3 linked regions of the Pelodiscus sinensis genome follow. Each later gene encodes a partner of the first gene's protein in a complex. Links are inferred from orthologs where the notes say so. Each region holds a gene or a part of one and is shown on either strand. Other genes may lie near its edges. The genes, in order: DRC3, DRC5 and DRC9.

Evidence for each region.
Region 2: DRC3 (region 1) and DRC5 share a complex: the UniProt entries of both Homo sapiens proteins name them as parts of the nexin-dynein regulatory complex. The link is inferred for Pelodiscus sinensis from reciprocal best matches to the Homo sapiens genes DRC3 and DRC5.
Region 3: DRC3 (region 1) and DRC9 share a complex: the UniProt entries of both Homo sapiens proteins name them as parts of the nexin-dynein regulatory complex. The link is inferred for Pelodiscus sinensis from reciprocal best matches to the Homo sapiens genes DRC3 and DRC9.

Annotation. Positions count from the first base shown.
Region 1 is NC_134726.1:33,168,349-33,172,093, forward strand, and holds the start of DRC3 (dynein regulatory complex subunit 3), read right to left. Parts: upstream 2,252-3,745; 5' UTR 2,233-2,251; intron 2,202-2,232; exon of another isoform or gene 1,898-2,201; intron 1,228-1,897; exon of another isoform or gene 792-1,227; 5' UTR 701-791; intron 253-700; 5' UTR 242-252; coding exon 76-241; intron 1-75. Other genes in the region: TOM1L2 (TOM1-like protein 2), read left to right, coding at 2,750-2,801. UniProt on the Homo sapiens protein: Component of the nexin-dynein regulatory complex (N-DRC) a key regulator of ciliary/flagellar motility which maintains the alignment and integrity of the distal axoneme and regulates microtubule sliding in motile axonemes.
Region 2 is NC_134713.1:140,621,819-140,625,563, reverse strand, and holds the start of DRC5 (dynein regulatory complex subunit 5), read left to right. Parts: upstream 1-733; 5' UTR 734-872; intron 873-903; exon of another isoform or gene 904-1,032; intron 1,033-1,301; exon of another isoform or gene 1,302-1,383; intron 1,384-3,745. UniProt on the Homo sapiens protein: Component of the nexin-dynein regulatory complex (N-DRC) a key regulator of ciliary/flagellar motility which maintains the alignment and integrity of the distal axoneme and regulates microtubule sliding in motile axonemes.
Region 3 is NC_134720.1:50,767,830-50,771,574, reverse strand, and holds the start of DRC9 (dynein regulatory complex protein 9), read right to left. Parts: upstream 2,263-3,745; 5' UTR 1,925-2,262; exon of another isoform or gene 1,921-1,924; intron 1,421-1,920; exon of another isoform or gene 1,237-1,420; intron 1,011-1,236; 5' UTR 836-1,010; intron 1-835. UniProt on the Homo sapiens protein: Component of the nexin-dynein regulatory complex (N-DRC), a key regulator of ciliary/flagellar motility which maintains the alignment and integrity of the distal axoneme and regulates microtubule sliding in motile axonemes.

The sequences.
Region 1 (3,745 bases):
ACCGATTAACTGGGATTTTACATCCCTCCTTAAAAATACAATTATAGTTTAATTTGAAAAAAATCGGATACTTACTTCTAAAATCAAGCTGTAGCTCTAAAACATCTTTATAATCAATGCCTTCCCTTTTGGCAAGCTGCCCTAATTCCTCTTGGGGGCCTTGCTCTTCCACAGCTTTTTGAAGCATCTTTTCATCAATCACATTTGGCTCTATGCTATCATATAACCGACTCATTTTCATGCGAAATAGGCCTTCAAGAGCAGAACAAACAATATCTCACAATTACCTTTTCCAGTGAAATGCACGCAGTATACAGAGAAACAATAGTACAGTGGGATATTCAAAGAGCATAGGCCTGCACTATGGAACTCAGAGTTATTAAACTTTCCTAAACAGCTACCCAGAGCAGAGCAAAAAGATTGCCAAATGCGTGGTCCTCATATCATGTACATAGAAAACCTGCATTGAAATTTAAGGAGAAATGTCCATGCAGAATTGCAGCATTGGGCACAATGAGAGGAAGTGAGTGAAAGGGACTGTCTCTTCCCATAAACAACGAGCAGTTGCCAGAACTTTCAACACCCATCTCACTACAAAGATCTAGGGGTGAAATTTTCCCTAGTGCAGAGTACGTACAAGCCTCTATGTTGAGCTTTCTCAATGGGGTGAATTTCACCTCCTGATAAAGACTAGACGTACCAGGTACATGTGCATGTGAGAATTACCAGGAACAGGGTTCTAAACTTTCATTGACAATCTGATGCAGTGGCAAATGCTGGCATCACTCAGACTGTTTGTGGAGGGAAATGTACACATTAGCGAGACTAGCTTGCAGTATAGCCATCTGCCGAGTTGCTCCCCATTCTGCTGAACAACCATCCATTCACTCATTGCCCTGCCTGTCACACAGCTACTTGTCCACCTATCCATTCAGGCTGCCACTCGCCCAGCTTGCCCCACAGCTCCTGCCCATCTACTGGTGCAGCCTGCCCCACAGCCACTTATCCATCTGCCTGCCCATCCAGCCCCTCAACTACCTGCCCAGCCTACCCCACAACTACCAGCCCATCTGCCCGCCCAGCCTACCCCACAACTACCTGCCCATCCAGCCTGCCCCACAGCCACCTATCCATCTGCGCGCCCAGCCAGCCCCACAGCCACCTATCCATCTGCGCGCCCAGCCAGCCCCACAGCCACCTATCCATCTGCCCATCCAACCTGCCCCACAACCACCTATCCATCTGCGCGCCCAGCCAGCCCCACAGCCACCTATCCATCTGCCCATCCAACCTGCCCCACAACCACCTATCCATCTGCCCATCCAACCTGCCCCACAACCACCTATCCATCTGCCCATCCAACCTGCCCCACAGCCACCTATCCATCTGCCCATCCAGCCTGCCCCACAGCCACCTGCCCCACAACCACCTATCCATCTGCCCATCCAGCCTGCCCCACAACCACCTATCCATCTGCGCGCCCAGCCAGCCCCACAACTACCTGCCCAGCCTACCCCACAACTACCAGCCCATCTGCCCGCCCAGCCTACCCCACAACTACCTGCCCATCCAGCCTGCCCCACAACCACCTATCCAACTGCGCGCCCAGCCAGCCCCACAGCCACCTATCCATCTGCCCATCCAACCTGCCCCACAGCCACCTATCCATCTGCCCGCCCAGCCTACCCCACAACTACCTGCCCATCCAGCCTGCCCCACAACCACCTATCCATCTGCGCGCCCAGCCAGCCCCACAGCCACCTATCCATCTGCGCGCCCAGCCTGCCCCACAACTACCTGCCCATCCAGCCTGCCCCACAACCACCTATCCATCTGCCCATCCAGCCTGCCCCACAGCCACCTATCCATCTGCGCGCCCAGCCTGCCCCACAACTACCTGCCCAGAATTCCACGCAACCCTCCAGCCACTGCTCCCCCCCAGAAGCTCAGCCGGCCGCCCAGCCCGCTCGCCAGCCGGCCGCAGGCCCAGGCGGCCAACCACAGGCCCGGCCACGCAAAGCCCACGGTGCCGAGCCGGTGGAGGACGCAGAGGCTGGCGAAGGCCCCCACGCACTCCCCGTGGCACCCGGACATCCAGCCCCACACGCAGCTGCAGAGACACTCGGACACCCACGGGACCCGCCACCTCGCCCCTCGCCGCGGGCACTAGCGCTCGCTGCTAAGGAAACAGGGGCTGTTGCTAAGCAGAGTCACGTGATCGCAACCCCCCACCGCGCGCTCTCTGTCACGTGACAGGCCGCATCTTCCAACCGCAGCTCAGTTTGGTGGTGACTTGTAAAACTGAGTCTAAAGCTCCTCCGCCAATCAAAACGCGAAGCAGCAGTTTAGACCAATTAGAGTCAGCCTCTGCAGCTAGTGGAGGCTGGAACTTCAGCTGACGAGTGTGGCCATTGCCCAATAGAATTGGGCAATTGATGGGGCGTTGTCCAATGGTGAGTGTGTCGGTAGAGGGGATTCCTGCCCCTCATGTGTCACTCAATACGGGGAGCGAGGGTGGTGATTGGAGGAGAGGACAGGAAGGCAGGACCGACAGTGATTGGCATGCTCAGTCTCCAATGCGATCGAGGGAGGTGGGCTTCCTGACCAGTGGAGCTCAGTGGGCGGGCTGTTGACGGTGGCGGAGTCCCTGATTGGTCAGTGAGGGTGTCGGTCAGAGCGGGGAGGAGGCCGCAGGGCTGGATCGAAAAGGCCAGGCCGGGCCGGACCGGCTGTTTGTTGTCATCCCAAGATGGAGTTTCTGCTGGGGAATCCGTTCAGCACCCCGGTGGGGCAGAGCTTGGGTGAGGGGGGGGCATGGGGCATGGGCGGGCCTGGGGAGGAGGGAGGGAGCCTCGGGACAAAGCCAGCCAGAGTGTGTGGGGGGCGAAGGGGGGGCCAAGGGGGCAGAGCCAGGCTGGGGGGGGCCAAGGGGGCAGAGCCAGGCTGGGGGGGGGGGCGGGCAGAGCCAGGCTGGGGGGGGGGCAGAGCCTGGGTGAGGCGGTGCAAAGGGGGCAGAGCCAGGCTGGGGGGGGGCAGAGCCTGGGTGAGGCGGTGCAAAGGGGGCAGAGCCAGGCGGGGGGGGGGCAGAGCCAGGCTGGGGGGGGCAAAGGGGGCAGAGCCAGGCTGGGGAGGGGGGGCAGAGCCTGGGTGAGGCGGTGCAAAGGGGGCAGAGCCAGGCTGGGGTGGGGGGCAGGGGAACAGAGGCTGGAGGGAAGGAGGGGGCAAAGCCCAGGGGGATAGAGCTGGGAGGACGAGGGAGTCATTCCAGTGGCAGAGCTGGGGAGGGACTAGATCTGAAAAAGCAGAACCCCAGTAGGGGTTAGGCTTGGTGGAGTTGGGAGTGCCACCCCAGAAAAGGGTGCGTTAGGGGTCCTAATCCCTGATGGGATCTTGGGGGTCTGGCATCCTGAGGTGAGAGCTGGTTGGGAGATGGGAGGGGTATGGCCTGGTAGGGCTGCAGAGCTTCTGTGGAGGTGAGTGCTGGGGTGCTCGTGATCTATATTTATTGCAGTGGCCTGTGTTCCCCACGGCTGCCCCCTGGGCCTGGCTTGTAAGATGAGGGTGCACTACTTCAGAAACAAAATCCTGCTGAAATCCCTTTTCTCCTACGGTGTTTCCAGTGACAGCTGCAGGACTAGCACCAGTGCTGTCACAGCAGGAGTATAACATGGCAGTTGGCACCTTGATGCTGCCAAAGCATGATGATGCTGTGGTTCTGCAAAGGGGAGCAGAAACTCCATCTGAA
Region 2 (3,745 bases), on another chromosome or scaffold:
TTCCGCAAAAGCACTGATTTCCTACTGTAAGAAATCAGTGCTTCTTGCGGAAATACAATGCTGCTCCCATTCAGACAAAAGTCCCTTTTGTGCAAAAGGGCCAGTGTAGACAGCTCAGATTTGTTTTCCACAAAAAAGCCCCGATCGCAAAAATGGTGATCGGGGCTCTTTTGCAAAAAAGCCTGTCTAGATTGGCCACGGACACTTTTCCGCAAAAAGTGCTATTGCGGAAAAGCGTCCGTGCCAATCTAGACACTCTGTTCCAAAAATGCTTTTAACGGAAAACTTTTCCGTTAAAAGCATTTCCGGAAAATCATGCCAGTCTAGACGTAGCCTTTGGGTTGCCCCTGCTCCAGGTTTTCCTAGGATCTTCCCTTTTTGAAGGTAGTTGTCCCAGGAAGAATGCCAGGGAACTCCCAGGCGCTGGCTGTTGACCAGTGTATGGGGGACAGGATCAGCTCATGTCCCAGTTTTTTGTAGCCTCAGAGGTGACAACCCTATAAATAATACTCAGTGGACACCTATGCAGGGAGCCACACGAGGGGCTGCATTGCTCTGTCCCGGGACGCTGCAAGCCCGGCGGGCCTGTGGATACAGCGGAGGGCCGAGCTAGGCTGTGCCGCCGCCCGCGCAGCCGCTGAGCAGACCCGTGCCCGGTGCTGGGCCGGGCCGGGACACGGGTGGGGGCGGCTCTGTCACCTGTCGCACCATAAGCCCCCCCCCCTTCCCAGCACTGCGGCACCGACTCGCTTCCGGCCTCGGCATCCCTCCCCCGCCCCGCTCTTGACAACGGGCCGCTTCCTTAGCAACCGCGGCCGGGGCCTGCCTGCCGGACCGGGCGGGGCAGCGGGAGGTGGCGCCCGCGGGAGACGGTGAGGGGCTGGGGCTGGCGGGGAGGGAGGGGGCGGGGAGAGACGGGCAGCGTCTGTAGCTTATTCTGCCCCGCGTCCCAGGAGCTAGAGTTGGGCAGGGGCCCTCGGATGGGTGCGCGGGCGCAACGCCTCTGCCTGGAGTGAATTCCCTGAAGCCCAGGTGCGTCTTGAGGGGAACCAGGGACGCTTGGGGCTGCCTGGCCCTCTCCCCGCTCCCACTCTCCCTCTCAGCCAGCTGAACAGCCCCTTGCAGGGGAAACTTGAGTTTCTTCTCCTGTCCTGGGTTCTACACTCACTTATTAGGGAAATCCGGGGGCTTTGAGTTGCCAGCTCCTGGGACAGGGACTTGCCTGCCTTTGTCTGGAGCTCACTGCCAGATGCTTATAAGATCCGTTATAACCTTGCCATTCTGTTACTTCACAAACTCAGCACTTGTCATTTAAAGACACAGCAACTGCTCTCATCTCAACTTTCAGCGACTGTCCCCTGGAAGAGGCTGTGCTGCAGAGAGGTGTATTTATTAAGACTTCATTTCTTTTACAAAATATACAACAGCCTACTTGCATGTTACCCTTAGTAACCAGTACTAACTTATGCTTTCTTTAAGTATGGTGTCTTTACATTGTGTTTGTCTACTCTTTAATTTGCAACATTTACTAACCAGGCCTGGACCTTCCTGACATTAGTGGGGATGTAAAAAAGTGCAACTATTTAAAGGGTTAACTGATAAGCACCAGCATATCAGTTTGTGTTACAAGTTACATGCTGGCTCCCTGGAAGTGGGACGGGCAGGGGCTGCTGGCCCCGCTCCCAGGGAGCCAGATTTTTTACGGGCTCTGCAGTATAAAAGTTATACTGCAGAGCCTGCAGCAAAGGGAGCTGGCAGTCACCACATAACCTGCAGCCAAGCCTCCCTTAGAGCAGGGTCAGCAGCCCCGGCTGGTCCTGCTCCTGGGGAGCCAGCTTCACCCTACCCTGCAGTATAAAAGCTATACTGCAGAGCCTGCAGGGTGTGTAACCATGTAACTGCTAGGATTTTTAGTGGTTATACAGTTACATTTTTAAACGATTTTTTACATCCCTAGTAATTAGTACAAATTAGTGGGATTCTGTTGTAAATTGCAACTCTTAATACCATGCAGATGGCTCACTGTAAGAATTTAGTAAAGGAGAATAGTTTTTAAAATCACTTGGTTTAAAAATCATTTCTGCCTTTGCTTACTTGCCAAAATCTGCATTGAGTCCCTGAGTGTCTTTTTTCCTCTGTTGGAACTGATGATATCACTAACTCCTAAAGTAGCATTTTTCAGCTTCTGATGTTAGTAACAGTATCTGCAGTTATAGAGCAACAGAACTGAAGGGCTAAAGTCAGATCTTGGTGGATAGAAAGCCCTTCATTTCACCTTTAAGGATCCTGACTTTTACAGTATAGAAAGAAATGCCAGAAAGTCATTAGTGAGGAGAAGGAATCATGTTCTGGTTTGTTAAAGCAAAGGCCAGGGAATTTAGAAATGAGTTCTAAATTCTTGTATAACTCTTGGAAGTCACTTCCCATCTCTACCCCATGTAAAATCAAGAAATTATTTTGCCTACCTAAATGGGGGATTAAATTAACTGACTGTGAAGTACCTGTACATTGAAATCCTTGAATGGAAGGAGCTAAAGAGGAGCAAAGTATTATTTTAATTAATTATTAAAATTAAGTGACCAATTAATTTTTTACTGGGGTTCTAAGAGATCAACTTGATGAAGAGAAGAAAGGATAAAGTCTCTTCTAGTTCAGGATGTTGCTAGAGCTAGACTTGGCTTGGTTGAGCAAGCACTGGTGTTTTTGGAAATGGGTTGGATATTCTCTTTACCTCTCTTTTGACTCCATACATCTGAGTATTCCCATTTTGGATATCACCTTTCCCACAGTTACGGCCGCATAAAATTCCCATTCAAATATTGGCAAGACAATGCCAGCCACTGCTGATTGGCAAGTGTTGTCACAAGTAGTGGTTAACTTTCTTGAGGTGTTACTTCAGAAATACAATTATCCCCATCACTGAGGAGTGTGTGATATGTTGGTGATGACTCAGAGCAGTCTAAATGAAAGGCAATATAGAAGACAGGATAATTTTGTCTGTAGCATAGTTCATAGTACTGTTGACATAAATAGCCATGTTAGCAAATGGATGGCAAAGCTAGTTCTGCCAGATCTGAACTTGACAACTATTCTCCAACATGATCATAGCTAGCACAGTTTTTGTGCCTGGTATATATGGGCATGCATGTGAGTGTTTAAAAATCAAGAGACACATTATCCTTACAGAAGTCAACAACGTAGCTGCTTAATACAAATGTAACATACATTGGCAAAAATGGCTCATGTCCTCAGTCAGGCAGAGTCATCCTGATGGGTTCCTGACAGGTCCTCTAATCCATCAATGATGATAAACTTTTGGCTGTGTACATGCGTGTGCCCCCTTGTCTAATGCATTAATCATGCACAATTAATCAATATGACAAACTCTGAGAGAGCCCCCAGAGACCACAAATCAGATAAAGATAAAAAGCACCTGAGTAGGTTTATTGTCAAGCAAGGTACAAAATAGTTGTCAGCGAATGGACTCACCGCTGCGCCACTATACATATGTACACCATGACAATCGACTAACACCCAACTAAACTCTCTGGATTCTAATGTGCCCTGTCCCGTGTGGTCAGCTGACCACTTGTTTTGTACAAACAAATACCAAACAAACAAGTTACACATCAAGTTACACAGTGGAGAGAGATAAATAGCACATCAAGTTACACATCACTCCTGATGTATCAGGTTGCCACCCTCTGTTAGCTAGTTACCTCCCCTTACGTCACAGAAGGGGGGG
Region 3 (3,745 bases), on another chromosome or scaffold:
TGGCAAAGAGAGCAGCACTGCTTTTCATAGTCTCTCTGTGGGAACAGCCCAGTGAACATGACCGCCAAACCTGACCAAAAAGTCTACATCACATTTTCACCTTGCCTGAAACAGTTCCTCCGGTGCTTTTAAAAAAATGTCTAGATCTTGTTAGGTGCTAAAGGTGTTCAAATACTTTACTGCATCGGGCCCTGAGACTTTCCAGATTAAATCTGCAGCCTTCAGAAGTAAGGGGATTATCACAGAGGCAGTTAAATTTTTTAAAAGCATGTGAGCTACTTGGGAGTCTAAAACCTATTTTAAAGAGTGAATTAGTTACTTAGAAGCCCAAGTTTCAGCTAATGTCACTTTTGAAAATAGAGTTTAAGCTGCTAAGTCACTGAGGGCAAAAGTTGAATTAAGCTACGCAACTTGAGCTACAGCAATTGCATACATAATTCAGCTTTTGGCACTGTCTACGCAGCAGGAAATCTTCACTCTTCCTTTGACTTCTCTTAATTTTAAGCGTGATATGAAGGTTACAGGAATTGGAGTAAGAAATCCTCCAGCCTGACATTATTCCAAAGTAATGACTTGCAGTGTAGATGCCCTCTTTGTAATGCTGCTGTGTAGACATACCCTAAGGCACTTTTTAAAAATTTACCCTAATTCTCCAGTGGCCTTAGCTGCATGGACAGGCATCAGCAACAAGGCCCTGATTCTGCCAAGCAGTTAAGTGCATGCTTAGTGCACTCCTCTTCAGAAAATCACTTAAACATGTGTTTGTTCCAATGAAGCCCAAATCCTCAACCCAGGCCTAAATGAGGGATTAAAGGTAAATTTTAAAGTTACTTACTGTTACAGTGGCATGGAAGAAGCCACAGGGGCTGCCAGGTGCATAGAAAGATAGTCTTCTCCTAAGCACTCACCGCCCAAAAAATGGCCAAAATACAGCAGAAAGGTTGTGGGCACAACACCCAAGCAGAGTCCTCTTGGCGCACACAGAGCTTGTGTGATCACACTGGTTTGTACTAGGGATGTAACAGTGTAATTGATATAACCAGAAGCTTATAGGTTAATGCTAAAGACTATACGCAATTCCCCCCACCCTGCCAGTAAATTGTTTAGCAGGCTGGCCAGCAACCCAGCTCCGTCCTGCTCCAGGACCTTCCCCTGCTGCGACTCTGCATTTAAAGTGTGTTAGGCACCAGGCAGGCAAGCAGCCTGGCTCAGTTCCAGGAGCTCAGACGGCCTCACCCTAGACGGGGGTTGCTGCCACCCCGCACTGCTGCGTGTGTCAAGCAGGGGCAGCAGCAGTGACAGGCAGCCAGGGGAGATGACTTTTAAACTGGCTCCTCTCAGGGAACAGCTCCTACCTGGCGCCCTGTGCTGCTGCATCTGTATCCGAGGCAGCAGCATGGTGTGGGGGGGGGGGGGGGAGCTCCTTGGGAGTGGGGCCAGGGCGCACTGGCGGCCGGCCCCGCCCCCGGGGACTATCAAGAGGAGTAACCGGCTAGAAGTCAGGAGGCCACGTGACCCTTCGATGAACGGATCCTTCACGTCCCTACTTGGGGCCGTGGCCCCCCTCGCCACGGCCCCGGGCCACGGCCCCTTTCTCATGGCGGGTTGGGCTTTAACCCTCCCCGGGGGGGGGGCAGTCCTGTGGCCCCCGCCCGGGTGTGTCCCTCCCCCAGCCCCTGTGCGGGAGACAGGCGGCCCCCAGGGGCGCGCCACAGGAGGGGGGGCAGGGCTGGGCCCCTGATGCTCCCTTCACGGGGGGGGGGGGCAATGGGACACCTCTCCCCAAGGGGCTTTGCCCTGCTCCCTAGCTGCGCTCGGACCCAGGGCCCCCCGCTATCCACCGGGGGGGGCGCACTGGGCAGGTCGCTCCCTCCCCCCCCCCCCCCCGGGTCTATTATCAGTGACACTGAGGGGACTCACGCACAGGCCGCAGGCCGGACAGAGCTGGTCTCCATGGCAACTACCAAGCTCAAGGGGGACCTTCCAGTCACACTGCCTACGTGGGTGCCTGTCGGGCACAACCCCTGAACCACGACCTCGCAGGGGAGGTGCCCACACAAAGGGCGCGGGGGACAGAGAGGGAGGGTGGGGCCGCGGCTGGGTTTTATTCACCCGTCCGCGGGCGCGTTTTCTACTCAGGCAGTCATTGCGGGCGACCCAAGGGCCCTTGCGATGCCATATCCCGGCATGCTTGGTGGCCGCTCTCCCTTTCGCCGCCATCTTGGGTCGGAGCCGCGGGGGTGAGTCCGGGGAGCGGAGGTCCCGAGGTGGGTTCAGGGGGGTTCTCCCGTCGCCGTGGGGCGGGGCAGGTGCGGCGGGGCCCGGGCTGCGCAGGGGGCGCGTGTGGCGGGGGCAGGCGGCGGGATGGCGCCGATGCGCGGCGGATGGTGCTAGGCCCCGGCCTGAGCCGGCTCCCACAGCCCCACGGGGTCCCTGGCTCTTCAGCCCCCGGGGTGGGGGGGCCCGGCCTGGCGAACGTAGCCCGGCCCGTGCCGAGCTGGGCTCCCCCGTTGCCGGCCGGGGTTAGCGGGGAGCACCGGAGGCTGCGGCCCTGTGGAGGCTGCGGGTCCCCCGGCGACGTGCCGGGCGCTGCGGAGGGGGGGCAGGGCCTGCTGCGGCCGTGGGGTGCCCGGCTCCCTAGTGCGGCGGCTGAAATCTTCGTGCTTCTCTCTCAGGCCTGCTGGGAGCAGGACTTCAGGACGACGCCATGTCTGGGAGGTGAGCGACGGGCTCTGAACACTTCCTTGGTCCTTTGCTGTCATGTTGGCCGGGGATCGCAAATCCTCTCCTCGGCTCCTGCAGAGTGGGCTGCCTTAAGTAGAGCCGGGTGTTCACCCTCTGTTGTGATGTACTTGGCACTGATTGCTATTCCCATCCCAAAGATCTGTCCCCTATAAAATCTTGTTATGCTGCACAGTTGTGTTCGGATCAGTATGTTGTGGGACAGTCTAAATTCCTACTATCCCATGCTGCCACACATGGTTAACCAGCCCTTTCTGTCAAGAGTTGGTAGAAGTTGGCTGCCATCTAATGATAGCTACAATTGCAAGTTACTTGTTCGTGGATGCAGACTGCATATGCAATCAATTGCATTACAGTTTGGTTATGGATAGGACAGTTTCAGATTCATGGTCAATTTTATTGTCATGGGATTTTAAAAAGCATGAACTTCATGATGTAATGTACTTAAATTTTACAGTGCTGGAATAGTTGAGTTCCTTCATGACCCAAAAAGGGGTTGTGCACTAGGGGTGTGAAAGTGTAACTGTGTACATTGTTAACCAATGAGCCCATGCTCATTGGTTACTGTGCACGGTTACATGCAACCCTCTCTCCTCACCTTCGCTGCTGCTTCTGTATCAGAGGCAGCAGCAGAGTGGAGAGGGAACAGGTGAAGCTCGCCAACTCCCCATGTACACCAGCTGCAGAAAAGCCACCTGCCCCATCCCCTGCTATGTAACCACTGGAAATTTCAGCAGTTACACATTCATTTGAGTAATCCCTATTGTGGACTAAGATCTGTGTAAGCTGTGTGGCTGTGCAGCTTGCCCAGCTAGGCTCTGCAGGAGCTCAAGTAATCTAGCCAAGGTGGGGACCTGCTAGCCAGAGGAGAACTTTCCCTTCCAGCCTCGGGAGACGCAGCCCAAATGCAGCCAGTGTCCCTGCCCCAGATCACCCCTTCCTTTCCTTCGAACTGGAAAGGCTAGGCCCAGACTCAGCCACTGCACCAAGATCTGCTATGGCT